Linked DNA regions of Xenopus tropicalis. The protein of the gene in region 6 interacts with the protein of the main gene of each other region in a pairwise test. Links are inferred from orthologs where the notes say so. Each region holds a gene or a part of one and is shown on either strand. Other genes may lie near its edges. The genes, in order: sh3rf2, ppp1r9b, sncaip, aatk, tor1aip1, ppp1ca and phactr3.

Region 1 (3,500 bases), on a different chromosome or scaffold from region 6:
TTGTTTTAGTGACTATGAAGCCTTCATCATCTTTGGTTTAACTGCATATTTCGAATAAGATGGATGAATTGGTTGTTCTTGACCTCCTGGATTGCCCCTTATGCCTTGGAAAATTGGATGTTAATGCCAAGGTGCTGCCATGCCAACATACCTTTTGCCAGCCTTGTCTGCAGAGACTATTTAAAGCCAAAAAGGAACTGAAATGCCCAGAATGCAGGACCCCTGTACAATGCAGCATTGAAGAGCTGCCAGCCAACTTATTATTAGTACGAATACTAGATGGCTTGAGAGGTGGGCAAACCCTTCTGAGAAGAAACTCCTCACGGAGGATGGGGGGACTCTTTGCCCAAGATTCTTTAAAGAAGAGCAAAGCAAACAGAGCAAGCCAGGATTCTACAAGTAGGACCATTTCCAAGGCCAGGATGCCTGTAGATGGGGTAAGAAAATAGGCTGTAATTTCTCTATAATTAAGTGGGTGAAACCATATGGCATTCTAAATAAAACACCAGAATAGCTACATAGCTACAATAAAAAGCAAGAATAGCTACATAATATTACAGATAGTAAAGCTACGCAGTTTAGAGTAATTTCCTAGTGCAGTTATAGGGCTTTTTCTGATTTCTTTCAGTGGGAAGGGGATGGGTGATACCTCCACTGCCACAATTTAAGTGATTGATATGAAATGGTAAAGGTTGTTTTGTCTATATGGTTGTGAAATCTTGTCTTGCATAAGACGGCAGAAACCAGAATAATATTACATCTTATAAAAGCACCTTTTACATGTCTCAACATCATCGATATTGAGACGTGTAAGTCATCGACATTAAGTCATACATATTTTTTCAATAAGAGGTTAAAATCCATATGTCGCTTCCATGTTGCTTGCATTAGATGAATTAATGAAAAAAAATCACAGTGCATTTATGCAAGAACGCTCAGCGCTGAATGTCAATTCAATGCGGCTTTTTTTATCCTGTTATCACACAACAGGGATAATCACGGATTCATGATGACTGCTCATAAATCTTGATCATCTGCATAAGGGATATGTCTTGAGATTGGGTATTATTAGCTCTAAATCAACATTTTACCTAAGGGTCTAAATAACTATTTAAGAAGTCAGCAGAACATATGGCTTGGTATAATGCACCAGATGCTCTTCCAAATCCTAATTTAAGAAAAAAATAGGCATTGTTTTGTATTTGATACTTAAAATATTGCATTTTATACATACCTAGGGCATGTTTTTTTCCATTTATGTCATGTAATAAAAAGTGCAAAGTTTATTCCAGGTCTAGTAACCCATAGCTACCAATAAGATTTTTAAAAAGTAGCCTGGTAAAATGCTGCAATACATTTATACATATACATTTATAATACTCTTTAACTGCCAGCCGGTCATGGAGGTACTTTTACTGTCTGACCATTTTTTAACATTTTTCACTTTAGGGGCCTTTCCTAGGGGTAATTTTAGTTTACCTTGGAAAACAGAATTTTTGTGAATTCCACTTCTGTAACAAGATATAGGCTTCTAAGTGTCTAAAAATGAAGGAAAACGTGTTTTTTCCGTAATATAAATACAAACATCAATCAATATAAATGAAGCATCAATTATGTTATGCACAAAAATAGAAGTCAGGTCGTGCAACAATTGTGTCACTGACTTGGCAGCTCCCTAGCTCAATGTGTTGGGGGCACATCTGACTCTCTGCACCGGCCACAAAAGTTGCCAGTGCAGAGGAGAGCCCTTAACTGCAAAGCATGTATGTGGAAGTGCAAAAGTGTTAAAGAAGGACTATATCCCTAGAATAAATACTTAGCCAACAGATTATATCATACAATCTTACCAAATTGGAATATATATATCAGTAAACATTTGAGCCGCCATTAAGTGATGGGCTGTGTGCTCCCTCAGAGATCACCTGACAGGAAATAATGCAGCTCTGACTGTAACAGGAAGTAGTGTGGGAGAAAAGACAGAACTCTGTCCATTAGTTGGCTGATGGGGCCATTTCATTTTATCTGATTTTCTTCTCCAGAAGAGCAAACTTCTTTAATCGTAACTTATCCTGGGTTCAATGCAGGTGTGGCACAGCAGATGCACACACAGCCAATTGTATATCTTTTTTGTCATCTGTATTGTCAGGAAGCAATCAAAACCTTGTAATTATCCTTTTAAATTTCTTTCTTTTTAACACACAGGCAAATATTTATAACCTTATTCACTTACATGTTGTATTCACAGCCAGATTCTGTTCCAACGGCAAGTGGCACTGGATGAAATTGTTCATCCTATCACAAGGTTATCATATACCATTTGGCACCCGGCAAGGTGTTTCTATAAAGTTCTGACGGGGCAAAGGAGGATTTTTAAAGTAGAAATTGTATTGGTTGATGTGAGCAAGCTGCTCTGTGATGAAACTTTTACTACTAGGCAAACACCTGAGAAACTGTTAATTGCCAACAGCCAGAGCACGAACTCTCCTTTTTTTAAGTTTATGATTACATCTCCTTTGCATACAGCAGAGGTCTCCAAGCTTTTTTTTACCTGTGAGACATATTCAAATTTATAAAGTGTTGGGGAGCAACACAAGCATGAAAAATGTACCTAGGGGGTTGTTATTGGCTATTTGGTAGCCCCTACATGGACTGGCAGCCTAAAGAAGACTCTGACAGTACACCTGGGTTTTATGCAACCAAAACTTGTCTCTAAGCCATAAATTCGAAAATAAGCACATGCTTTGAGGTCTCTTGGAGCAACATCCAAGGGGTTGTTAAGCAATATATTGCTCCTGAGCCACTGGTTGGGGATCACTGGCATACAGTATTCTTCTCTCTGGTGGCTCTTGGATGGAAAATACTTTCTGCTTTTACCATCAGTTAGTAGTCTGTCAGTAAACAATGTTTTGACTACCTAAAGAGTATACATGCTTTCCTCTGGATATGTGGTGCCAAGTTGGTTTCATTAAGGGTTAAACTTTGTAGATAACTATGTAACAATGCAATCATCGATACCAAACACAATACCAAAACGCTTGCCTAAAGTCTGAATAAATGAAGTATATGTTGTAACATGCCAACCACCCGCCGCCCCAACACTTGTGCTTCTTTTAAGCTGGAAGTTTGACTCTGATCTTGTTTCTGTGCCAAGCTAGCATATAACTCCACCACCCAGCCTCAGTGCTTCTCAGCAGCTGCAGCTGGGAATAGTTCTTCTTGTATTTATGCCAACAGAAAATGCATCTAGTTCTTACGGTTAACTGGAAACTGAGATTTAGATGGTATATGATGAAGCTTTGTGTCTGGTGTTTTCAAGACATCATCAAATTTCAATCAGGATTATATTTAATGTGAACATATAATTAACCCTAACAACGTGGGCAGTGCTTACTTTAAAATAAAGGGGGAAAAGATTATCCATAGTCACTTTAACCAATCCCTTTATTGTTAAAAGAACCACTGCCAGCATTATTAACTATCTTCAAAGGCAGCTGCTGCCA
Region 2 (3,500 bases), on a different chromosome or scaffold from region 6:
AACCCAGATTGCTCATTGTCTTATTGTCAACTTTCTTCTTGTAGCTGGCAGGTCTTGAACAGGAACGTTCTCGTTGGAGGATGGAGAAGGCTCAGTTGCAGCAAAGTGTTCAGGAGAATAGGGAACGTGTGGAGAAACTACAGGGGTATTGGATGGAGGCTCAGAATTTGTGCCAAGCAGTGGATGAGCATTTAAAGGAGACGCAAGCTCAGCACCAGGGACTGGAACGCAAGTATGGCAAAGCAAAAAGACTCATCAAGGACTATCAGCAAAAGTAAGTCCAGAAACCCAGATGAAACCTACCAATGTACTTGCATTCAGGCTTTCTCTTATTTATTCACCTACATATAATTTCTCTTTCTTTCCTTACTGATTTGCTTATTTTCTATTATTCATTAACCTTCTTTTCATATTTTTTATACTTGGTTCTTTCTTTGATATATGACCACAGCTTAGTATCTCTGCCCATCCATTGATGAGGCTTGGTAGCTAATCAAACTTCTTCAGGCATAAATATAAAGTATGTGTGGGTAGGCATAATGTGAGCAGCCTGGAGAGCAGTACACTGCAAATATCTGTAAAATAACATAGTTTCTACAGGAATTATTTGGTAATATCGTGTTGACAAATAACAGTTGCAGTATCTGCCAACCCTCATGACATGGGGTTGGTTGACAGCTCTGCAACTGTTCAAGGCTGACTAGGGGTGTGGCAGTTTAATGTTAGAGATCCATCCTTATGATCCTTTTTATTATATCCAATGCAGCAAGCTAGAACCCACAAAAATTAACATTGGCTTTTTTGCCTGGTTCAGCATTTAGACATACACCCTTTGAAATTACCCTTTAGTATTAAGTTGTTCTTGGACACTTTGCAGTTGCTGTACTAGAAAACCATGATGTACATATAAGGCATGAATGTGAACAACCTCCATCCACAGGGGCAGCTTAGGTCGTTACAGGAAATGAGGGACAAAAACCTTATTTTTCTGTGAAAGGTGTTAGTCTTAATATAAGGATGAGCTTCCTGTGAATCCTGGCCTGTTCCAGTTGCTGGTTCCCAGCAACCCCCTTCTTGCTAACCATGCTTTCCTTAGTGGATATGTGTACTTTATATCAGAGACTGGAAGAATAAAAGTTTCATGTTTTTCCTGTCTACTCACAGCTCTAAGTGCGACTGGCGCTCTGAGCCTTGGTCTGTGTGTGTGCTGCCCCCCCATGGGGTTCTGTAGATCTGAATAGAATATAGTTGCTTATAACTACAGGTCAGCTCTGTGACCTTCTGGAGTTCAGCAATAATCCCCATAAAGCATTGGTCTTAACCTGGCCACTAGTGCCATACAGCATTGGCATTATGTATAGAGTGTAATAGAACAGCAGCATGTATGTAAGACCACTAGATGGATTATATAACAAGTATAGTAGGGATTTTGGTTGGAACCAAATATTGGTCACCATTTTCAAATCACCTACTAGGTTCATGTCCAGGTTGCAACAAAGCTTAAAGCTGCCTTAAAAAGCAGCCCGGCCATGCAAATACAACAGCCCAAAAACATGGCTCCCCTAAGCAGTGGCATAGGCTGAGTAAGTTATAAATGAGGATAGCAATAAAGGGTGTGTATTATCACTAAGGTAAGGTATCTTCACACTGCAGACTGAGTGAATATCATGCATCTTAAAGAGAAGCAGATGGGATCAGTTCACACTGTGGGATCAGATCTAATACGGGGGGGCCCAAGAGAAGAGCAGCATGCCTAGTTATATGATGCTACTGTGATAAATACCCAGCCTGTTACAGATGAGTCAGTCAGGAAATCCAGAATATCCCTGCTCCCTAAAATAACCCCGCTTCTGCTATCTGTTTAAAAAAAGAATGAGGGGTGGATAGGAGCAGCAGGGAAGGAGAGCAAAATGTGCAATTTTGGCTCAGTGCGACTGACAACAGAGTGGGTGTTTCCTGCAGGGATGGCAAGGAGCACAACATAAGTCACATATCTACAGAACCACCATTTCCAATCCTCATTATAAATTAAGGAATTATTAATTTCTTTGCTACAACTATATGCTTCTTTCTTAATTGTTAATAACTTCTCATGAATTGGAAAGGGGCTTCATGAATTCTAATGGATCCTGAATATGTTAAAGTAGAAGGAAAGATACGATGGGGGGTTCCAAATGTTAGGCACACCCAGTGATTGTAACCACTTACCTGATACTCCGGGCCAGTGCTCCTAGTAACATAGTAACATAGTAAGTTATATTGAAGTTATTGAAAAAAGACAGAGCAGGCAAATACACAAGTTCAAATACAGGCCAGAAGTCAGGGCAGGAGGAAGACAAATTCAAATAATAAGTCAATGGTCAGGGCAGGCGGCAAGCAAATAGACAAGTCACAATTACAGGCCAGAAATCAAAACCAGAAGGTCATTAAATACAGAATAAATCTGTAATAGATCAGGAATATGCTCACATAATGGCACAAAATGTGGGTCACAAGGATGTACTCAAGGCTTTCAAAAACAGAGGCACACACAGGAAAGCATGAGGCAAGTTTTCTTCCGTCAAACCATCCTCATATCTATCTATCTACTGTATCTATCTATCTATCATCTCTCTTTTCCCTTCTGTTTTTGTTATTCATCCACCTGTTTCCTCTATCTTGTGTAACCCCTTCCATCTTCTTATCCATACAGTTAGGTCTCTAAACTATGACCTGTTCCCAACCAAATTGCATCTCCTATATATCCACCTCCAACCCTAATCAGGTAGTTCAAATTGCATAATACCTGTATCCTTGTGTTTTCTCTACAGTCACCCATTGTCTGGCTCCTACCATCTTCCCATACATTGTTGCTTTCCTCTTTCATCAAATTTGTATTTCTGCCCATTTTTTTAATTTGTTTTACGCAGTCAGTCTTTATTCCCTATACCAACATTTGTTTTCTTTCTCAACCACATGCCTAATCCTTTCTGCCTACTCTCTACCACCTATATAATCACCACCGCCCTCGCACCCAAGTGCCTTTACTAAATCTTTTCTCCCTTTAATTGTTTCTTATTGACAGTCCTTCCCAGCAACCACTTGAGCTCTTTTCTATATTCTCACATACTGACACTAATGCATCACATAAACCACTTATTTTCCACCTCTGTGTTCTCTTCGCATGCTTCGTTCCACTCCTTCCTACCCCTTGTCCTCCCACTGAACATCACTCAGATATTATCTTGATTTCTATTTATCCACCAGCTTTTTCATCCTTCACCCCCATGGCTTCCCCCTCACTGGCTCTATATCACCCTCCTGCCAAATGTACCAGCTCTACATTTCCAATATATTCACTCATTTATGCTATCTATAAAGGTTGCCACCCTTTTGCCCACAGGGAGCTGGACTTCCTGAAGAAAGAAGAAATGCAGAAACAGACACTGGAGGAGGTTGAAACTGCACATGCTACAGAGATTCAGAGGCTACAAGAGAAGGTGCGTCTCTGGCTTCCTTCA
Region 3 (4,045 bases), on a different chromosome or scaffold from region 6:
TGAAGGTGCATTACAGAGAAGCAGTGGGCACTGTTCAGGGAGGTGTCTGTAATGTCAGTGTATTAAGTTGTAGGTAGGGCCAAGGCAGTCAGAGGCAGAGACATATGTGCTGGTAGTGATACTTGATCCTGCTCTAAAAAGGCATTCCAATCTACAGTTGACTGACAAAGCCTGTGAGACTATTGCCATAGCAAGCAGTGGTTTCCTATCACCTCCTGCAGAGCTACTGAAAATCATGGGCACCAAAAAGTCATAAAGGCTTTATAGCATTTATGTAATATAACTAATTAAGTTACAATGATTTTACTCTATACCTGAGTTCTTCAACTATGATTCTGGAGTGCCTTGCCTGCTTTGCATTTTCTTTTCTCCAATAAGGACTCCCTTATGCTGAGGGCCTGGGGCATGAGCACCTGGACCAACCTAATATACTGGTAAGCTTACCCTCTACTACATTGAATGCTTAGATCTGTAGATTTTTTTTGTAGATTTTCACCAAAAAGTCAGAAGTCACTCTGTGCGCAACCGCCACATGCCATCCAATTTCTTGCAAAGCTTTGTAAAAAATAAACTATGCACCATATTTATTATAGTGTCCCTGCACCCAGTCAAAGCTGTGATACTGCCAGGTTACACTGGCATTACTAACATATCAAGAGTTGTGTTTTCCTTCGATGTTACAATACATATACATAGCATCACTCTGCAAAACCCATACGGAACATAACACCGTACAACCCCAATTTTACGTTTTTCAGTGGACCAGAAAAAATGGTGTAAGATCCTAGAAAAGGTAAAATCAGGGAAATGTATGCCTATATGCTTTGCACTGCATGCTGATGGTTTTAATACACCCTTATGAGGGAATCTCTTCCCAGCACAACCTGATGAGTCTTTTCATTGTTGCTTAGCTGAAGGAGCATTACAGACAGGCTTCACGTCCCGATAGTGGCGGTACTGCAGGACACAATTACAATGCGGTCACTAATAAAAGCGGGTCAGTGCTGCAACCCTGCTGCGCACCTTCCCTCAGCGCTCCCAGCAGCTCCCCAGCTCTGCCTTTCTGCAATAGCTCGACGCCTCATTGCTAAGAAGCAGGGCCGTGCTATTGACCTAATAGGGAGTGGCTAGCCCTGGCTCAGGTTTCTATTCCACAGCTGAACCCAATCAGCCGCTGGAGGTGTGGCCTTTCTGCCACAGTTAACCCTATGTGCCTATGAGGCAGGCCCATATGTGTGTGTAAGGCTGCCGCTGTATGGGAGGCCGTTTTCATTGCATTTCTGCTTACTGTACTGGAGTGCCGGGACTGCCAGTGGACAAGGCTTTTGCACAAGGTGAATACAGGAGACAGGTCCAGGCAAGGCAAAGGTAAGATGAAAGTTTGCTTTGGCAGAATGGAAAAAAGGGGACTCTAAGAGAGGTGGTACATTCCAGGAGTGACGGGCTGTTACCTATTTGCCGGGATCCTATTGACAGGATGATGGGTAGCGCTGTAGTACCGCTTCTCTGCATCCCTCACTGAGGGAAGGGACTTTTTGTCTGGGGAGCAGATGCTAATTGTATCTATAGTAACGGTGCCTGTTCCTTTTGTGCTGCTCCTTTCAGAAAGGCTACAATGTACTGGGGTACTGCACGCTGAATCTCATTATCTTCATAGCCAGGATGTGATTTTACTGGCCATCATTGATTTATCTTCCAAAGTGTCTGTTGGCTACTATAGATGGTGGCAGCCTGGCTTGCAGTGCTGTCTAGGTTGTAAAGAAGACATTATGTGTAACACTGAATACCATGAAATACCCAAGCCTGGGGGGTACCATAATCCAATGCATGACTGTCAGGGGATTCTGGGAGATGGAGTCCAACAGAAGCTGGAGGGCCCCATATTATGCATTTCTGCTCCCATACCAGCCTTTAGTTTTAACCGTGCTAAATGAATATGAAGCCCATGTATGACAAAGATATTGTGCTATTTATGATGTCATGTGAGCAACATACCAGCCCAAAAACTGAAGAATACCATTATTTAAAGCAACCTTGCACCAAATCAGGGCTTTGATAATGCTGTGCCCTGCTACAATGGCATCACTGAAGTAATTGTTATGATTTGCATTTTACTTTGCCTTAGAACAAAGGGATAGCAAACGACAAGATTACAATAGAGCACTGTACACAGCTGATGCAGAAAAGGTACTGTGCCCTTTGTATTGTTTGCTCGGCTGGGGGACGTTGCTCTTAAAGGCGCTGTCAGAGAGCTCACTTTATTCCAATTAGAGGGCTCACTTCATCCCAACACACTCCCTCAGGGGTTCTTATCTGATGTACCTCCGAGCTCTGACCCCATGCTGCTGGGGAGATGAATGACTCCAGTTGTGGCACCTTGCCATTCCATGGTACAGAATGCCTTGTGTGACAGGATGTTCTGTATACATTCGGATACCTTTTTTTCCCTTGGTAGCGTATGTTTCTCCTCAGTGAGACTTGATCCTGCTCTGAAACCACATTGTTCCCTATTTCCAGGTTTGGAATGCTGCGCTGTCTTTCCTCGCATGTTTTTCATCAATGATTTCTAATGTTTAGTGCCTGCCCCCCATAATGTGTTGTGGGATAGCTGTCAGGGGATGGTGGGAGTTGGAGTAGCCTTTGTGAATAAGCAATATGGCACTAAATGAAATCACTACTGGTATTTTTTATGGGGGGGGGGTCGATATTGATACCATCAGTTGGATTTCTGAAGCTCCATTGTACCACATGGGGTTAACCAGGAGACCTATTGCAGTCTGCCTCATTTCATTTATTGAAGGACTGCTAAAGAAGCTCTAGAAGAGCACAGAGGATTTTAAAGAAAGCAATTTAAATGGACATATTTCATGTGCGGCTTGACATTTGAAAGAATAACCTAACTTGGCGAGTAGGCTGAAAAATAACCATATAACTCACATGCAAGCAATTGCAGGTATCAGATTGCTATTAATAAATGCTACAAGGGTATGCATGCCTGGGATTAGGAGTGCCGCAGGAGCTGGAATTCTGGTGCTCATTATGGTACTGTTTAGCTGTACTGTGAGGCACTCTGCTTTATAGGAAATTCTGCTCTTGTCTTTCTCAGTTTAGTTGTGAACCCCAATATTTTGGGCTACACGGTTCCACAAAACTCTAGAATGATATATATCCCAGTATTATCACTGTGTACAGCAGCAAAACAGAGAGTGGAATTCGTTTTAAAAGCAAATTTCAATCTAGATCAAGGGCTTTCAGGCCTTCAGCTCTGATTTATTCCCATCATCCTCACACAGCCAGGTTCTGCAACAGCTGATAGGCCATAGGTTGCACAGCTCTGGTCTAGATAGCATATTAACAGTGTCAGAGAATAACCATCCCCAAACATAATTGCGTTGCCACTAAGAGTTCTCTCCTTAGGGGTTCAAGCAGGAGTGACCAACCTGAGTATGAGAAATCTCAGAAACATACAACATATTCAGCTTTTGAGTGTGCAGGCATCATTAGTAGCAGGCATGATAATGCAACACCACCCAAACAGCACTAGGGGGAAAAGTGTATGGAAGGGACTGTTGTTGTATACAGCAGGTAAAGAAGGGTAAGGTGGTGGCAGTAGTACCTTCTGTAAGTGGCACCCATCTTTCAGCCTTTCAATAATTATACAGCTCAAAGCTCCCACCAGCAGAAGAATGCTGTCAGGGATGCTGAGAGTTGTAGTTTAACTGCTGAAATAAATAATAGTGGTAATTATGGTTGAACGTGATGGACGTATGTCTTTTTTCAACCCAACTTACTATGTTACTATGTAGCTCTTGTTTTTAAACCCCAGTCAAAGATGCCTTTTAATTAAAATTATTTACTCCAAAGAAAGAGTCATTTTGCAAACATGCAGTTTATATGTACCAAGAGATTATCCCCGGTGGGTGTGACATTTACTACATGCTGCTGACAAATTTGCAGTTATAAGCAATGTGCATATTTGAAAGAGTTTTCTCAATTTTACATGTTTGCAATGGGACTGAACACCTGGCTGCAGACTCCCCTTATG
Region 4 (3,500 bases), on a different chromosome or scaffold from region 6:
CCAGTGCATTAAGTAGAATAAAGTGGCACACAGTGAGTCCAATTGTACATTTACTTACGCCACGTTCATCAGCATCAACTGCATTCCAATAGATGCTCAATAGTGAATATGTCCCATTTGTTTAGAAGGTTATAGTGCTTTAGTAGTCACACTGCTGTAGATTCAGGCACACCCAGGTTATCAAAATAAACCTTTACCTCAATTCGCAACCTAACTGCATTTTAAGCAGAGTATCCTATTAGCCACTCTCTGTCTTGTCAGGAAGAGCAGTCTCCCAGTTTGGGAAGTACTTTTCAGAGAGCAGAAATCTAAAGATGGTGTATTCCATCTTGGCATATTGACAGCTGACACATGGAAATGTAGCATCATTTTATACAGTTGCAGTATGAGCTGAAAACATTATTATCATTAATACTGTACTAGAATGTGATTCCATGATGTGTTACAGAATGTCCTGTGTCCAATGTAGAATATAGGGAGGTGGATTCTGAAATGTAACTGTGGTGGGGGAATCTTGCCATAGGGAAATACAGCATAACATTAACTCATAAAGTCAGATATATAACATTATTGTAAGAGACTCCCTTCAATAGTTCTAGTAGCTTGCAGCACAGCGACTAAATACTCTTCCCAGATCTTACCCAAATTTGGCTCAAGGCTGGGCCTGCTAGGTGGGCTATGCCTACCGTTTGAAAACCTCTGCTGTGCACAATGTATTACAAACCAGGCACATTTTTTAATGTTAAATTGTGTTTTTTTTTACAATACGAAGTAAAGCCTCATGATAGTAATTTAATTATGTATTATATTCTAGGTTTGAGGTAATGCAGTTTTGCTGGCTACAACCTGAGCAGAGACCAACTGCAGAGGAGGTACATCTTCTGCTTTCTTATCTGACTGTGAAAGGAACCAGCGAGCTGGAGGAGGAGTTTGAGAAACGGTGGAATTCTATGAAGCCTACTGGTGGCACAGGCAGCGGTAGTCATCACGAGACTGAACTCTCTTCATACCCACTGCTCGAGCACTTTTCCTCTGATGGATTTCACACTGATGGTGATGATGTGCTAACTGTTACTCAGACTAGTCAGGGACTAAATTTTGAATACAAATGGGAGAGTGGCAAACATGAACAGTACCCTCTAAATCCAGGCTGCCCGGCATACCAAGACATGTACTTTACTTCAAGTACTGGGGACAGGCTGAGTCTAGGAGTATCTCCATCGTGCTATGAAAGTAAGGAGGGAAATTCTGGTCCTTGTCCACTTGAGGTAGTTCCAGTTCTTAGTGCTCACAGCCCATCAGTGGCAGGAGATTATTATATTCGTATTGAAGAACCTTTAAGCAGCAATGTTAACCAAAACTGCAGCCCACAATATGGAGAATACCCTATACAAGAAAAGGAGAATACTGAGGAGGATCTAAGTGACAATAGCCCTTCTATTTCTTTATCTATGGAGCCTTTAACTGATGAAACAATCTGCAGTAATAAACAGGACAAGGTTCTAGAGAAAAGCTATGAGTGTTCTGAAATGGCTGATACATCAGAAGAGATTCATGTGAAAGAACCCTCACAAGAAGAAGAATGTTGCTCAGTTGCATTTTTGGACCCCCTAGGGGTCGCTCCAAATTTGAAGCAGCTTTGTCAGGCTAGCTTAGGCTCAGCACAAGTGGCATTTTTAAAGAATTCGGAATCTGAAGATACACGATCTAATGTTTGTGAAACACAAGTAGATTCTGTAACACTGAAACTTGAAAATGAAGGAGAAACCCAACAGTATAATGAATTTCAGGAAGATCTACCTACTGTGACCTCTCACTTAGTGGCCTTTTCCCCCCACTGGGCATCAAACATCTCCTCAAACAACAATATCTCCACTACTCCTCTTGACTTCAGTTCTGCATCCTGGTGCAATCGCCGTTCTGGCGATTCCCAGAAAGTCGACAAAGAACCCTATGGTCCTGAATCTTGGCAGAACATGGAATCAGGGGAAGGAGAGCCTACAGGATGTTTGGCAGAGTTAGAATGCCATGATAAAACTTTGGTTGATGGTGAGAAATTCAAAGATTGGTTAGGAAAAACCCTTGACATATCTTTAACGCCTTTAGAAGCAAAATTGAGTGACCTAAAAATAACCCAGAACACAGAATATATAGAACCCCTTCTTTCTACTATGGAGCATCAAACTAATGCTGACAGAGAGTCTGAGCATGAAACTGATCCACTTGGTGCTAGTATAATAGGGTACTGTACTGCCCCTGCACAACCAGAAGCCATGCATTCTCTTAATATATCCAAAGAAGGGGACTATGTTTCTCAAGAGATCTGTTCACCGATATTGACAGATGAATTCAGTGGTCAATGTATTTCACCCATCAAAGAAAGGGAAAGCCCTGAGGAATCCTTCCCTACAGATTTATATCAGAGTGATGATGAAGACACAATGGAGATTACCTCTGGGGTCTTTACTGATCTTTCCAGTGAAAGGGGCGATATTGTTCAAACTTTTAGATCTCTTCAGAAGCAGGTTGGCACTCCAGATTCTTTGGACTCTCTGGATATGCCTTCCACTGCCAGTTCATGTGAGGCCTTCAGCCTCGGAACATACACCCCCTGTGGGCAGCACAAAGCTCTAGATAGTGGCTATGATACTGAAAACTATGAGTCACCAGAATTTGTACTGAAAGAACCTACAGATAGCAGAGAATCTGATACTTATTGCCAGGGAAATCATGAAACTGGTCTTGGGTCAGAAGAAATGCCAATATCTAGATCAGTAAGCAGTGATCTACAAGGCTTGGATGCCAAGAATCCATACAGAGACTCTGCATACTTTTCTGACTATGAGTCGTTTACCCGGGAAGAAGAAGAAGTTGATGGTGATCAAGAACTAGATGGGGTGACTAAGGAAAAAGATTCTTTGGAGATTCAGGACTGCAATCTAGAAAAGTGTTCTGATGATACAAAAACTGATACAAAGGGTTCAGTAACTTCTCAGCACCAGGAAATCCCAGATAACAGTTCACCTCTACCTTCTCTACCTGTGCCAAAAGACTGTTTATTAGTTCAGCCCCAGCTCATGGTGAGGCAAGACTCAGTGGATGAAGGGCTAGGTCTTGAATGTCAGAAAGAACACTCTGTTGAAAAACTTTCTCCTTTGCCTTCATCTGTAGAGTCATCTTCACACAGGACCTTCACACTGTCACCAGTTCAGTTGTGCCTGACAAAAGAATGCACTGTTAAGCAAGGGACTCTGGGTAGTATCACCCTCACTACTGGCCTTCAAATGGAAGAAAAGGTGATTTCTTGCAACAAGGACACTCTGAGTACTCACCACGTTACAAAATGCCTTTCCCCTCCTCTTCCTCGTAAAGATGGTAAAGGTGGAGATTCTTTGGATGAAGAGGATGATGAAGAAAGTGAAGATAGTGATGAGTCTGATGAAGAACTCAGGTGCTATAACATCCAGGAACACAGCGAGGAAAGTGAGGAAGAGCATGGC
Region 5 (4,085 bases), on a different chromosome or scaffold from region 6:
GACTTCCTTTGGCTCCCCTTCAGCTTTCTCCAGCCCCCCCCAGCGACTTGCTCTGGCTCCCCTGTAGCTTCCTTCAGCCCCCCCCCCCCAGCGAATTCCTCTGGCTCCCCTGTGGCTTCCTCCAGCCCCCCAGCAACTTCCTCCAGCCCCCCCCCCCCAGAGACTTCCTCTGGCTCCACTGCGGCTTCCTCCAACACCCCACCCCCAGTGACTTCCTCTGGTTCCCTGGGGCTTCCTCCAGCCCCACCCCCAGCGACTTCCTCTAGCTCCCCTGTGGCTTCCTCCAACACCCCAGCCCCCCCAGAGACTTCCTCTGGCTCCCCTGCGGCTTCCTCCAACACCCCAGCCCCCCCAGAGACTTCCTCTGGCTCCCCTGTGGCTTCCTCCAACACCCCAGCCCCCCCAGCGACTTCCTCTGGCTCCACTGCGGCTTCCTCCAACACCCCACCCCCAGTGACTTCCTCTGGTTCCCTGGGGCTTCCTCCAGCCCCACCCCCAGCGACTTCCTCTAGCTCCCCTGCGCTTTCCTCCAGCCCCTCCCCCAGCGACTTCCTCTGGCTCCCCTGTGGCTTCCTCCAGCCCCCCCAGCGACTTCCTCTGGCTCCCCTGCGGCTGCCTCCAACACCCCAGCGACTTCCTTTGGCTCCCCTTCAGCTTTCTCCAGCCCCCCCCCAGCAACTTGCTCTGGCTCCCCTGTAGCTTCCTTCAGCCCCCCCCCCCAGCGAATTCCTCTGGCTCCCCTGTGGCTTCCTCCAGCCCCCCCAGCAACTTCCTCCAGCCCCCCCCCCCAGAGACTTCCTCTGGCTCCACTGCGGCTTCCTCCAACACCCCACCCCCAGTGACTTCCTCTGGTTCCCTGGGGCTTCCTCCAGCCCCACCCCCAGCGACTTCCTCTAGCTCCCCTGTGGCTTCCTCCAACACCCCAGCCCCCCCAGAGACTTCCTCTGGCTCCCCTGCGGCTTCCTCCAACACCCCAGCCCCCCCAGAGACTTCCTCTGGCTCCCCTGCGGCTTCCTCCAACACCCCAGCCCCCCCAGCGACTTCCTCTGGCTCCACTTCGGCTTCCTCCAACACCCCACCCCCAGTGACTTCCTCTGGTTCCCTGGGGCTTCCTCCAGCCCCACCCCCAGCGACTTCCTCTAGCTCCCCTGTGGCTTCCTCCAACACCCCAGCCCCCCCAGAGACTTCCTCTGGCTCCCCTGCGGCTTCCTCCAACACCCCAGCCCCCCCAGAGACTTCCTCTGGCTCCCCTGCGGCTTCCTCCAACACCCCAGCCCCCTCAGAAACTTCCTCTGACTCCCCTGCGGCTTCCTCCAGCTACACCCACGTAACGGAGACATCATTACGTCTTCACGTTTTATGACGTCACTTGCGGCCGTTCGCAACTAGGAACTAGCAGCTACCCTCTTCCTGCATCGGCTTCGCTAAACGTTGTGGTGCGTCAGTCATAGTTTACCGTCGGAAACGTGGGTTAAGTTGGAGTGGTTCCGCATCAAGTAAAGTGATTTTATCGTGGTCAACGGTGTCATAGCTAAGGACAGTCGTCAACAATGAGCGTTCACGGAGGTAAAACAACCAACACCGGTAGGTAAGCCAAGCCCCAGACAGGAGAAGATACACTCCCTAAACGCGTTCATAAATTGTATTAGTTGGGTCACGGCAGAGGCCCAGAAGGAGTTCGCTTTATAGAATCGAAAGCGAAAGAAGTTGTCAGCCCGCGCTTTCAATCCATTTTAAATGCTTTTGTATGAAGCGATTATGAATGTATTATATCTGCTTTTTACGATCTGATCTTTCTAAGACTGTGTATATGAGAATTAGTAGATACCGAGGATCATATACACAGTCTTAATAATTTATTAATTCGCTATTTGTCCTATTTATCACTGTAGGGGGGGGGGGGCAGGTTCAGCTGTAAACGTTATAGTCTTTGCTGGGGCCCTGTCAAATCAATATTTATTTCTATATAGTTTGCTTTTATCTGGGGGTATGTCAGAGGTGGCTCCTGTTACACCTGCAAGTAGCCCCAGAAGCAAAAGTGAAATTCTGATGTTAGCCCTGAATCCTAGCACTTTTTGAAGGATTTCTATTTGACAGTATTTAGGACAAACCAATGCGGTTTTTACATTTTACTTAAATTTGTTTAAGCAAATTAGGGGTTGCATTCTCTTCTGCATACAGATTATTCTTTTGTGGAGGATTCAGTATTTAACCAACCCAAAAAATTGTGGATTTGGGGCAACAAGACGCACCAGCCTTTTTTAATGAATTCGTTTCATCACCAGAGTTGTGGGCTAATAAAAACAGAACCTATAGAGGAAGCAGGGGGCGCAGACTGCAGTGTCTGTTTCATCTATAGTTGTCAGAAATCCCCCAATCCCCAGCTGCTATCTTATCTACCCTGGGGAGCAAGGGTAGTGTGCTGAGCCCTTCCGAAGATTCTTTGCTGGGGGCCAAGCACAAATTTGTTACGCCACTGTCTCTTAATTTTAGATAAGATACAGAAATATATAAAACAGAAATGTTATTCTTCTATTACTGTTTATGTCTTTTCTCTAGATGCTTATGTCTCAAGAAATGATGAGGAAGAAGCACCTTTTTTAGGTAATGCAGATTTCAGGATCTAAATATGTCTGCCTCATCGCGGTGACGTGACACGAGAACGCAGCAAGGAGCGGGAGGACACAGTGGGGAGATGGGAGAGGGAGTGGGGGAGCCGGGAGAGGGAGAATGTTAGAGCAGGCCATAGTTTTAGGACGCAGATGGGAGCAGGCAGTGAGAGTGGGCCATAGTTTGAGGACTCAGCAGGGAGCTGGAGCAGGCTGTAGTTTGTGGGGTGGGTTATAGACTAGAGACTATATTCCAGCCCCCCAAAAGTCTGAGGGACCATGAACTGGCCCCTGTTTAAAAGTTTGAGGACCCCTGTTTTATAGCATTGAGAGTGCCATGTGTGTCTATTCCTGCCCTATGGTTAGATATCTTTAGGGATGTGTCATGCAGCATGACACCAGGTTCTTTTTGACTTAAAAGTGCATCACACTTCATCCCTACAATGATCACCACATTCTAAGTCCCTATATTGGGAACTGCCCCATATATTTTATTTTTTAGAATTCATGAATTCTGAGAAATGTTTTAGGAGAGTATTAGATAATTTTGGGTTAGATAAATCTCCCTGTAAGTGAAATGTTATAATTATGCTGGTTCTCCCTTTCTCTCCTATTTGCAGCAGACATGAAGTTGACAAGAAATTCAATCAGGTCTTCCAATCGAGGTAAAATATTTGGTCACAAAATTTTTTTTATTGCTTCTGGCTATACAAAATGAGGTAGAACTCTGCTTTTGATTTTATTTTTAAAGCTTATAGTAAGGTTCCTATCAATCCTTATATGAATCCCTAATGAACTGACTTTCAGAATGCTGGTCCCTGGTAAACTATGATATGGTAAACATTCCCCACCTGATGGCCTTAACCTTTAACATTCCCTGTTGGATTGGGTTTTCACTTGTCGACTTTGAGCAGCACAAATCTGATCTGCCTGCACTTAGCCACAGAATAATAGAAACTTTTTTGTAGCAGCTACTTTGGGCTGTGTTCTTTTTTACCTGCAGCGCTGAGCAATCTAATCTTCCTGCACTACTAATTGCTGTAGGCAGAGAAGCACAGATTGGTAGCTGCTGTGTCAAGCTTTTTATTACTTGCTAGATCAGGACAGGTAAATTGGATCAATCATTATAGTGTATTGTTGCTTAGCAAGGGTAAATGAAATGCAAGATGCGGGATGTGCTGGAGGAAATAAATGAGTAGACAGAGAAGAGAAAAAAAAAGTAGACAAGCATAACCTTGGATAATGAGGGGAAAAGAATTAGAAGTTAATAATGAGTAACAAGCTAAGGAAATCAAAATGGAGAAGTAATGGAAAGGAGAAAAGATAAACAGGTAGGAGAAATAATAAAAATATAGGAAAGCACAGCAGGAAAGGGGGAGGAAAGAAGAGAACAGATGCAGAGATAAAATATATGTAGAAGTAAAAAGAGTACAAAGAAAGGTAAAAGAATGGAAAAGTGGTTGCAAGCAGGGCTGG
Region 6 (2,509 bases):
TAACGGGGCCCCCCCTCCCCAGTTCCTGACTGGCCTGTTCCTCCCCCCCTACAGTTAAAGGCTGCCGCCCTGGGAAGAATGTTCAGCTGACGGAGAATGAGATCCGGGGGCTGTGCCTGAAGTCCCGCGAGATCTTCCTCAGCCAGCCAATCCTGTTGGAGCTGGAGGCCCCGCTGAAGATCTGCGGTGAGTAGGGCCCTGGGTGCCGAGGCTCCGCCTCTGTGTGTAGCTGCGGATCTGATTGGCTTCCCTCTCCTCCCCCCAGGGGATGTGCACGGTCAGTACTACGACCTGCTGCGCCTGTTTGAGTATGGGGGCTTCCCCCCCGAGAGTAACTACCTGTTCCTGGGGGATTACGTGGATCGGGGGAAGCAGTCGCTGGAGACCATCTGCCTGCTGCTCGCCTACAAGATCAAGTACCCCGAGAACTTCTTCCTGCTGCGCGGGAACCACGAGTGCGCCAGCATCAACCGCATCTACGGCTTCTACGATGAGTGTACGCGGGGGCGGGGCCAGGCTGTAACCCACGGTAACCAGTGCGCTCCCTAATGCCCTCTGTCTCCCCCTGCAGGTAAGCGGCGCTACAACATTAAGCTGTGGAAAACCTTCACCGACTGCTTCAACTGCCTGCCCGTGGCCGCCATCGTGGATGAGAAGATCTTCTGCTGCCACGGGGGTGAGTTCCCTGCTGCCCCCATCCCTCAGGGCTCGTCTGGGCAGCCCAAATGGGGTGAATACACACCCCACACCTTCTTAGCCAGTGTGCCCCCCCCCCGGGAGCCCCAAACCTTATACTGTACAGCCAGTGTGCCCCCCCCCGGGAGCCCCACACCTTCTTATACTGTACAGCCAGTGTGCCCCCCCCCCCGGGAGCCCCACACCTTCTTGTACTGTACAGCCAGTGTGCCCCCCCCGGGAGCCCCACACCTTCTTATACTGCACAGCCGGTGTGCCCCCCCCCGGGAGCCCCACACCTTCTTGTACTGTACAGCCAGTGTGCTCCCCCCGGGAACCCCACACCTTCTTATACTGTACAGCCAGTGTGCCCCCCCCGGGAGCCCCACACCTTCTTGTACTGTACAGCCAGTGTGCCCCCCCCCCCGGGAGCCCCACACCTTCTTGTACTGTACAGCCAGTGTGCCCCCCCCGGGAGCCCCAAACCTTATACTGTACAGCCAGTGTGCCCCCACCGGGAGCCCCAAACCTTATACTGTACAGCCAGTGTGCCCCCCCCCGGGAGCCCCAAACCTTATACTGTACAGCCAGTGTGCCCCCCCGGGAACCCCACACCTTATACTGTACAGCCAGTGTTCCCCCCCCCGGGAGCCCCACACCTTATACTGTACAGCCGGTGTGCCCCCCCGGGAGCCCCACATCATCTTATACTGTACAGCCAGTGTGCCCCCCCGGGAACCCCACACCTTCTTATACTGTACAGCCAGTGTGCCCCCCCATGGAGCCCCACACCTTCTTGTACTGTACAGCCAGTGTGCCCCCCCGGGAACCCCACACCTTCTTATACTGTACAGCTAGTGTGCCCCCCCATGGAGCCCCACACCTTCTTATACTGTACAGCCAGTGTGCCCCCCGGGAACCCCACACCTTCTTATACTGTACAGCCAGTGTGCCCCCCCCATGGAGCCCACACCTTCTTGTATTGTACAGCCAGTGTGCCCCCCCGGGAACCCCACACCTTCTTATACTGTACAGCTAGTGTGCCCCCCCATGGAGCCCCACACCTTCTTGTATTGTACAGCCAGTGTGCCCCCCCGGGAACCCCACACCTTCTTATACTGTACAGCTAGTGTGCCCCCCCGGTATACAGTTGTGCCTACTCTGGATCCATCAGAACCTGCCCCCCCCCCCCCCACTCACATCCCCATTTGTGTTTCAGGCCTCTCCCCCGACCTACAGTCCATGGAGCAAGTCAGACGGATCCTGCGTCCCACCGATGTACCGGACCAGGGGCTCCTGTGTGACCTGTTGTGGTCGGACCCGGACAAAGATGTGCTTGGGTGGGGGGAGAACGACCGCGGGGTCTCCTTCACCTTTGGGGCTGATGTAGTAGCAAAATTTCTTCACAAACATGACCTTGACCTCATCTGCCGAGCTCACCAGGTACGTCTGCTCCGCCCATTCCTTACTCCTCTCCCACCCCAGGTATGTCTGCTCCGCCCATTCCCACCCCACGGTACGTCTGCTCCGCCCATTCCTTACTCCTCTCCCACCCCAGGTATGTCTGCTCCGCCCATTCCTTACTCCTCTCCCACCCCAGGTATGTCTGCTCCGCCCATTCCTTACTCCTCTCCCACCCCAGGTACGTCTGCTCCGCCCATTCCTTACTCCTCTCCCACCCCAGGTACGTCTGCTCCGCCCATTCCTTACTCCTCTCCCACCCCAGGTATGTCTGCTCCGCCCATTCCTTACTCCTCTCCCACCCCAGGTATGTCTGCTCCGCCCATTCCCACCCCACGGTACGTCTGCTCCGCCCATTCCTTACTCCTCTCCC
Region 7 (3,500 bases), on a different chromosome or scaffold from region 6:
CTCAGTAATTAAGGGGCAGAGAGAAGATTACAGAAACCTATCCCATAATTCCACACTCTGACCTCGGTGCTGCCATGTTGCCCCGCTGTATCAGCTCTCCCCCTGTCCCTCTATGTATATTGGGAATAAACCCTGCTTTTGGGTGGAGTTGCCCTTTAAAGTGCACCATGGCAGCTGATTAGCTGGTTGTTCCTGATTGGGGCAGAGCATTGGGTATAGTTCTGCTGCAGGAGTAGTCTCTGGTCATTGCTGTGCTCCGACTCTCAGCAGCCTGCGGTTGCCGTGGGATACGGAGACATAGAGAGATGGAGGCTGAAGGGAACTGGTCTGCGTTTCACTCCCAGTTTGTTCCTTCTCTCCCAGAGGAGATGGCCCAGTCCCCGGCGCTGCGCGCAGAATACGTGCTCTCAGGGACTCGCACGCCCCCCGCCCGGCGGAACAGCAAGTTGGCCACACTGGGCCGGATCTTCAAGCCCTGGAAGTGGAGGAAAAAAAAGAATGAGAAATTGAAGCAAACGACGGGTAAGAACTGGAATAATCCCCATCCCCACTGTACAGCTAACCAATGGGCAGGTTTACTTACCCTTTACTCATTCTTCCACTGACATTAGCACTTGACGCTTAGGGGCTCATTCTCACGGGGAAATCCCATCATTGGTTTCCATTTCACTCACTTTCAAGGGGAAGTTAATCCCATCATTGGTTTCCATTTCACTCACTTTCAAGGGGAAGTTAATCCCATCATTGGTTTCCATTTCACTCACTTTCAAGGGGAAGTTAATCCCATCATTGGTTTCCATTTCACTCACTTTCAAGGGGAAGTTAATCCCATCATTGGTTTCCATTTCACTCACTTTCAAGGGGAAGTCAATTCCATCATTGTTTTCTATTTCACACACTTTCAAGGGGAAGTTAATCCAATCATTGTTTTCTATTTCACACACTTTCAAGGGGAAGTTAATCCCCTCATTGTTTTCTATTTCACCCACTTTCAAGGGGAAGTCAATCCCATCATTGTTTTCTATTTCACCCACTTTCAAGGGGAAGTTAATCCCATCATTGTTTTCTATTTCACTCACTTTCAAGGGGAAGTTAATCCCATCATTGTTTTCTATTTCACTCACTTTCAAGGGGAAGTTAATCCCACCATTGGTTTCCATTTCACTCACTTTCAAGGGGAAGTTAATCCCATCATTGTTTTCTATTTCACCCACTTTCAAGGGGAAATTAATCCCACCATTGGTTTCCATTTCACTCACTTTCAAGGGGAAGTTAATCCCATCATTGTTTTCTATTTCACCCACTTTCAAGGGGAAATTAATCCCATCATTGTTTTCTATTTCACTCACTTTCAAGGGGAAGTTAATCCCATCATTGTTTTCTATTTCACCCACTTTCAAGGGGAAATTAATCCCATCATTGTTTTCTATTTCACCCACTTTCAAGGGGAAGTTAATCCCATCATTGTTTTCTATTTCACTCACTTTCAAGGGGAAGTTAATCCCATCATTGTTTTCTATTTCACCCACTTTCAAGGGGAAGTTAATCCCATCATTGTTTTCTATTTCACCCACTTTCAAGGGGAAATTAATCCCATCATTGTTTTCTATTTCACCCACTTTCAAGGGGAAGTTAATCCCATCATTGTTTTCTATTTCACTCACTTTCAAGGGGAAGTTAATCCCATCATTGTTTCTATTTCACCCACTTTCAAGGGGAAATTAATTCCATCATTGTTTTCTATTTCACCCACTTTCAAGGGGAAGTCAATTCCATCATTGTTTTCTATTTCACTCACTTTCAAGGGGAAGTCAATCCCATCATTGTTTTCTATTTCACCCACTTTCAAGGGGAAGTCAATTCCATCATTGTTTTCTATTTCACTCACTTTCAAGGGGAAGTTAATCCCATCATTGTTTTCTATTTCACCCACTTTCAAGGGGAAGTTAATCCCATCATTGTTTTCTATTTTACTCACTTTCAAGGGGAAATTAATCCCATCATTGTTTTCTATTTCACCCACTTTCAAGGGGAAGTTAATCCCATCATTGTTTTCTATTTAACCCACTTTCAAGGGGAAGTTAATCCCATCATTGTTTTCTATTTCACCCACTTTCAAGGGGAAGTTAATCCCACCATTGGTTTCCATTTCACTCACTTTCAAGGGGAAGTTAATCCCATCATTGTTTTCTATTTCACCCACTTTCAAGGGGAAATTAATCCCATCATTGTTTTCTATTTCACTCACTTTCAAGGGGAAGTTAATCCCATCATTGTTTTCTATTTCACCCACTTTCAAGGGGAAGTTAATCCCATCATTGTTTTCTATTTCACCCACTTTCAAGGGGAAGTTAATCCCACCATTGGTTTCCATTTCACTCACTTTCAAGGGGAAGTTAATCCCATCATTGTTTTCTATTTCACCCACTTTCAAGGGGAAATTAATCCCATCATTGTTTTCTATTTCACCCACTTTCAAGGGGAAGTTAATCCCATCATTGTTTTCTATTTCACCCACTTTCAAGGGGAAGTTAATCCCACCATTGGTTTCCATTTCACTCACTTTCAAGGGGAAGTTAATCCCATCATTGTTTTCTATTTCACCCACTTTCAAGGGGAAGTTAATCCCATCATTGTTTTCTATTTCACTCACTTTCAAGGGGAAGTTAATCCCATCATTGTTTCTATTTCACCCACTTTCAAGGGGAAATTAATCCCATCATTGTTTTCTATTTCACCCACTTTCAAGGGGAAGTCAATTCCATCATTGTTTTCTATTTCACCCACTTTCAAGGGGAAGTTAATCCCATCATTGTTTTCTATTTCACTCACTTTCAAGGGGAAGTTAATCCCATCATTGTTTTCTATTTCACCCACTTTCAAGGGGAAGTTAATCCCATCATTGTTTTCTATTTCACTCACTTTCAAGGGGAAGTTAATCCCATCATTGTTTCTATTTCACCCACTTTCAAGGGGAAATTAATCCCATCATTGTTTTCTATTTCACTCACTTTCAAGGGGAAGTCAATTCCATCATTGTTTTCTATTTCACCCACTTTCAAGGGGAAGTTAATCCCATCATTGTTTTCTATTTCACTCACTTTCAAGGGGAAGTTAATCCCATCATTGTTTTCTATTTCACTCACTTTCAAGGGGAAGTTAATCCCATCATTGTTTTCTATTTCACTCACTTTCAAGGGGAAGTCAATTCCATCATTGTTTTCTATTTCACTCACTTTCAAGGGGAAGTTAATCCCATCATTGTTTTCTATTTCACTCACTTTCAAGGGGAAGTTAATCCCATCATTGTTTTCTATTTCACCCACTTTCAAGGGGAAGTTAATCTCATCATTGTTTTCTATTTCACCCACTTTCAAGGGGAAGTTAATACCATCATTGTTTTCTATTTCACCCACTTTCAAGGGGAAGTCAATTCCATCATTGGTTTCCATTTCACCCACTTTCAAGGGGAAGTTAATCCCATCATTGTTTTCTATTTC

What was found.
Region 1: the proteins of ppp1ca (region 6) and sh3rf2 interact in binary tests that used the Homo sapiens proteins (3 or more experiments, as listed by UniProt). The link is inferred for Xenopus tropicalis from reciprocal best matches to the Homo sapiens genes PPP1CA and SH3RF2.
Region 2: the proteins of ppp1ca (region 6) and ppp1r9b interact in binary tests that used the Homo sapiens proteins (3 or more experiments, as listed by UniProt). The link is inferred for Xenopus tropicalis from reciprocal best matches to the Homo sapiens genes PPP1CA and PPP1R9B.
Region 3: the proteins of ppp1ca (region 6) and sncaip interact in a two-hybrid assay, tested with the Homo sapiens proteins (2 studies listed by BioGRID and IntAct). The link is inferred for Xenopus tropicalis from reciprocal best matches to the Homo sapiens genes PPP1CA and SNCAIP.
Region 4: the proteins of ppp1ca (region 6) and aatk interact in binary tests that used the Homo sapiens proteins (3 or more experiments, as listed by UniProt). The link is inferred for Xenopus tropicalis from reciprocal best matches to the Homo sapiens genes PPP1CA and AATK.
Region 5: the proteins of ppp1ca (region 6) and tor1aip1 interact in a two-hybrid assay, tested with the Homo sapiens proteins (2 studies listed by BioGRID and IntAct). The link is inferred for Xenopus tropicalis from reciprocal best matches to the Homo sapiens genes PPP1CA and TOR1AIP1.
Region 7: the proteins of ppp1ca (region 6) and phactr3 interact in a two-hybrid assay, tested with the Homo sapiens proteins (2 studies listed by BioGRID and IntAct). The link is inferred for Xenopus tropicalis from reciprocal best matches to the Homo sapiens genes PPP1CA and PHACTR3.

The regions. Positions count from the first base shown.
Region 1 is NC_030679.2:39,625,394-39,628,893, forward strand, and holds part of sh3rf2 (E3 ubiquitin-protein ligase SH3RF2), read left to right. Parts: intron 1-9; 5' UTR 10-59; coding exon 60-437; intron 438-3,500. UniProt on the Homo sapiens protein: Has E3 ubiquitin-protein ligase activity. Acts as an anti-apoptotic regulator of the JNK pathway by ubiquitinating and promoting the degradation of SH3RF1, a scaffold protein that is required for pro-apoptotic JNK activation.
Region 2 is NC_030686.2:18,323,232-18,326,731, forward strand, and holds part of ppp1r9b (neurabin-2), read left to right. Parts: intron 1-44; coding exon 45-274; intron 275-3,382; coding exon 3,383-3,479; intron 3,480-3,500. UniProt on the Homo sapiens protein: Seems to act as a scaffold protein in multiple signaling pathways. Modulates excitatory synaptic transmission and dendritic spine morphology. Binds to actin filaments (F-actin) and shows cross-linking activity. Binds along the sides of the F-actin.
Region 3 is NC_030677.2:169,743,172-169,747,216, reverse strand, and holds the start of sncaip (synphilin-1), read left to right. Parts: upstream 1-1,245; 5' UTR 1,246-1,368; intron 1,369-4,045. UniProt on the Homo sapiens protein: Isoform 2 inhibits the ubiquitin ligase activity of SIAH1 and inhibits proteasomal degradation of target proteins. Isoform 2 inhibits autoubiquitination and proteasomal degradation of SIAH1, and thereby increases cellular levels of SIAH.
Region 4 is NC_030686.2:26,681,854-26,685,353, forward strand, and holds part of aatk (serine/threonine-protein kinase LMTK1), read left to right. Parts: intron 1-814; coding exon 815-3,500. UniProt on the Homo sapiens protein: May be involved in neuronal differentiation.
Region 5 is NC_030680.2:101,249,751-101,253,835, reverse strand, and holds the start of tor1aip1 (torsin-1A-interacting protein 1), read left to right. Parts: upstream 1-1,285; 5' UTR 1,286-1,550; coding exon 1,551-1,584; exon of another isoform or gene 1,585-1,588; intron 1,589-1,635; exon of another isoform or gene 1,636-1,745; intron 1,746-2,559; coding exon 2,560-2,604; intron 2,605-3,229; coding exon of another isoform or gene 3,230-3,232; coding exon 3,233-3,274; intron 3,275-4,085. UniProt on the Homo sapiens protein: Required for nuclear membrane integrity. Induces TOR1A and TOR1B ATPase activity and is required for their location on the nuclear membrane. Binds to A- and B-type lamins. Possible role in membrane attachment and assembly of the nuclear lamina.
Region 6 is NC_030685.2:492,457-494,965, forward strand, and holds part of ppp1ca (protein phosphatase 1, catalytic subunit, alpha isozyme), read left to right. Parts: intron 1-54; coding exon 55-186; intron 187-265; coding exon 266-496; intron 497-571; coding exon 572-676; intron 677-1,894; coding exon 1,895-2,118; intron 2,119-2,509. UniProt on the Homo sapiens protein: Protein phosphatase that associates with over 200 regulatory proteins to form highly specific holoenzymes which dephosphorylate hundreds of biological targets.
Region 7 is NC_030686.2:3,418,816-3,422,315, forward strand, and holds part of phactr3 (phosphatase and actin regulator 3), read left to right. Parts: intron 1-363; coding exon 364-522; intron 523-3,500.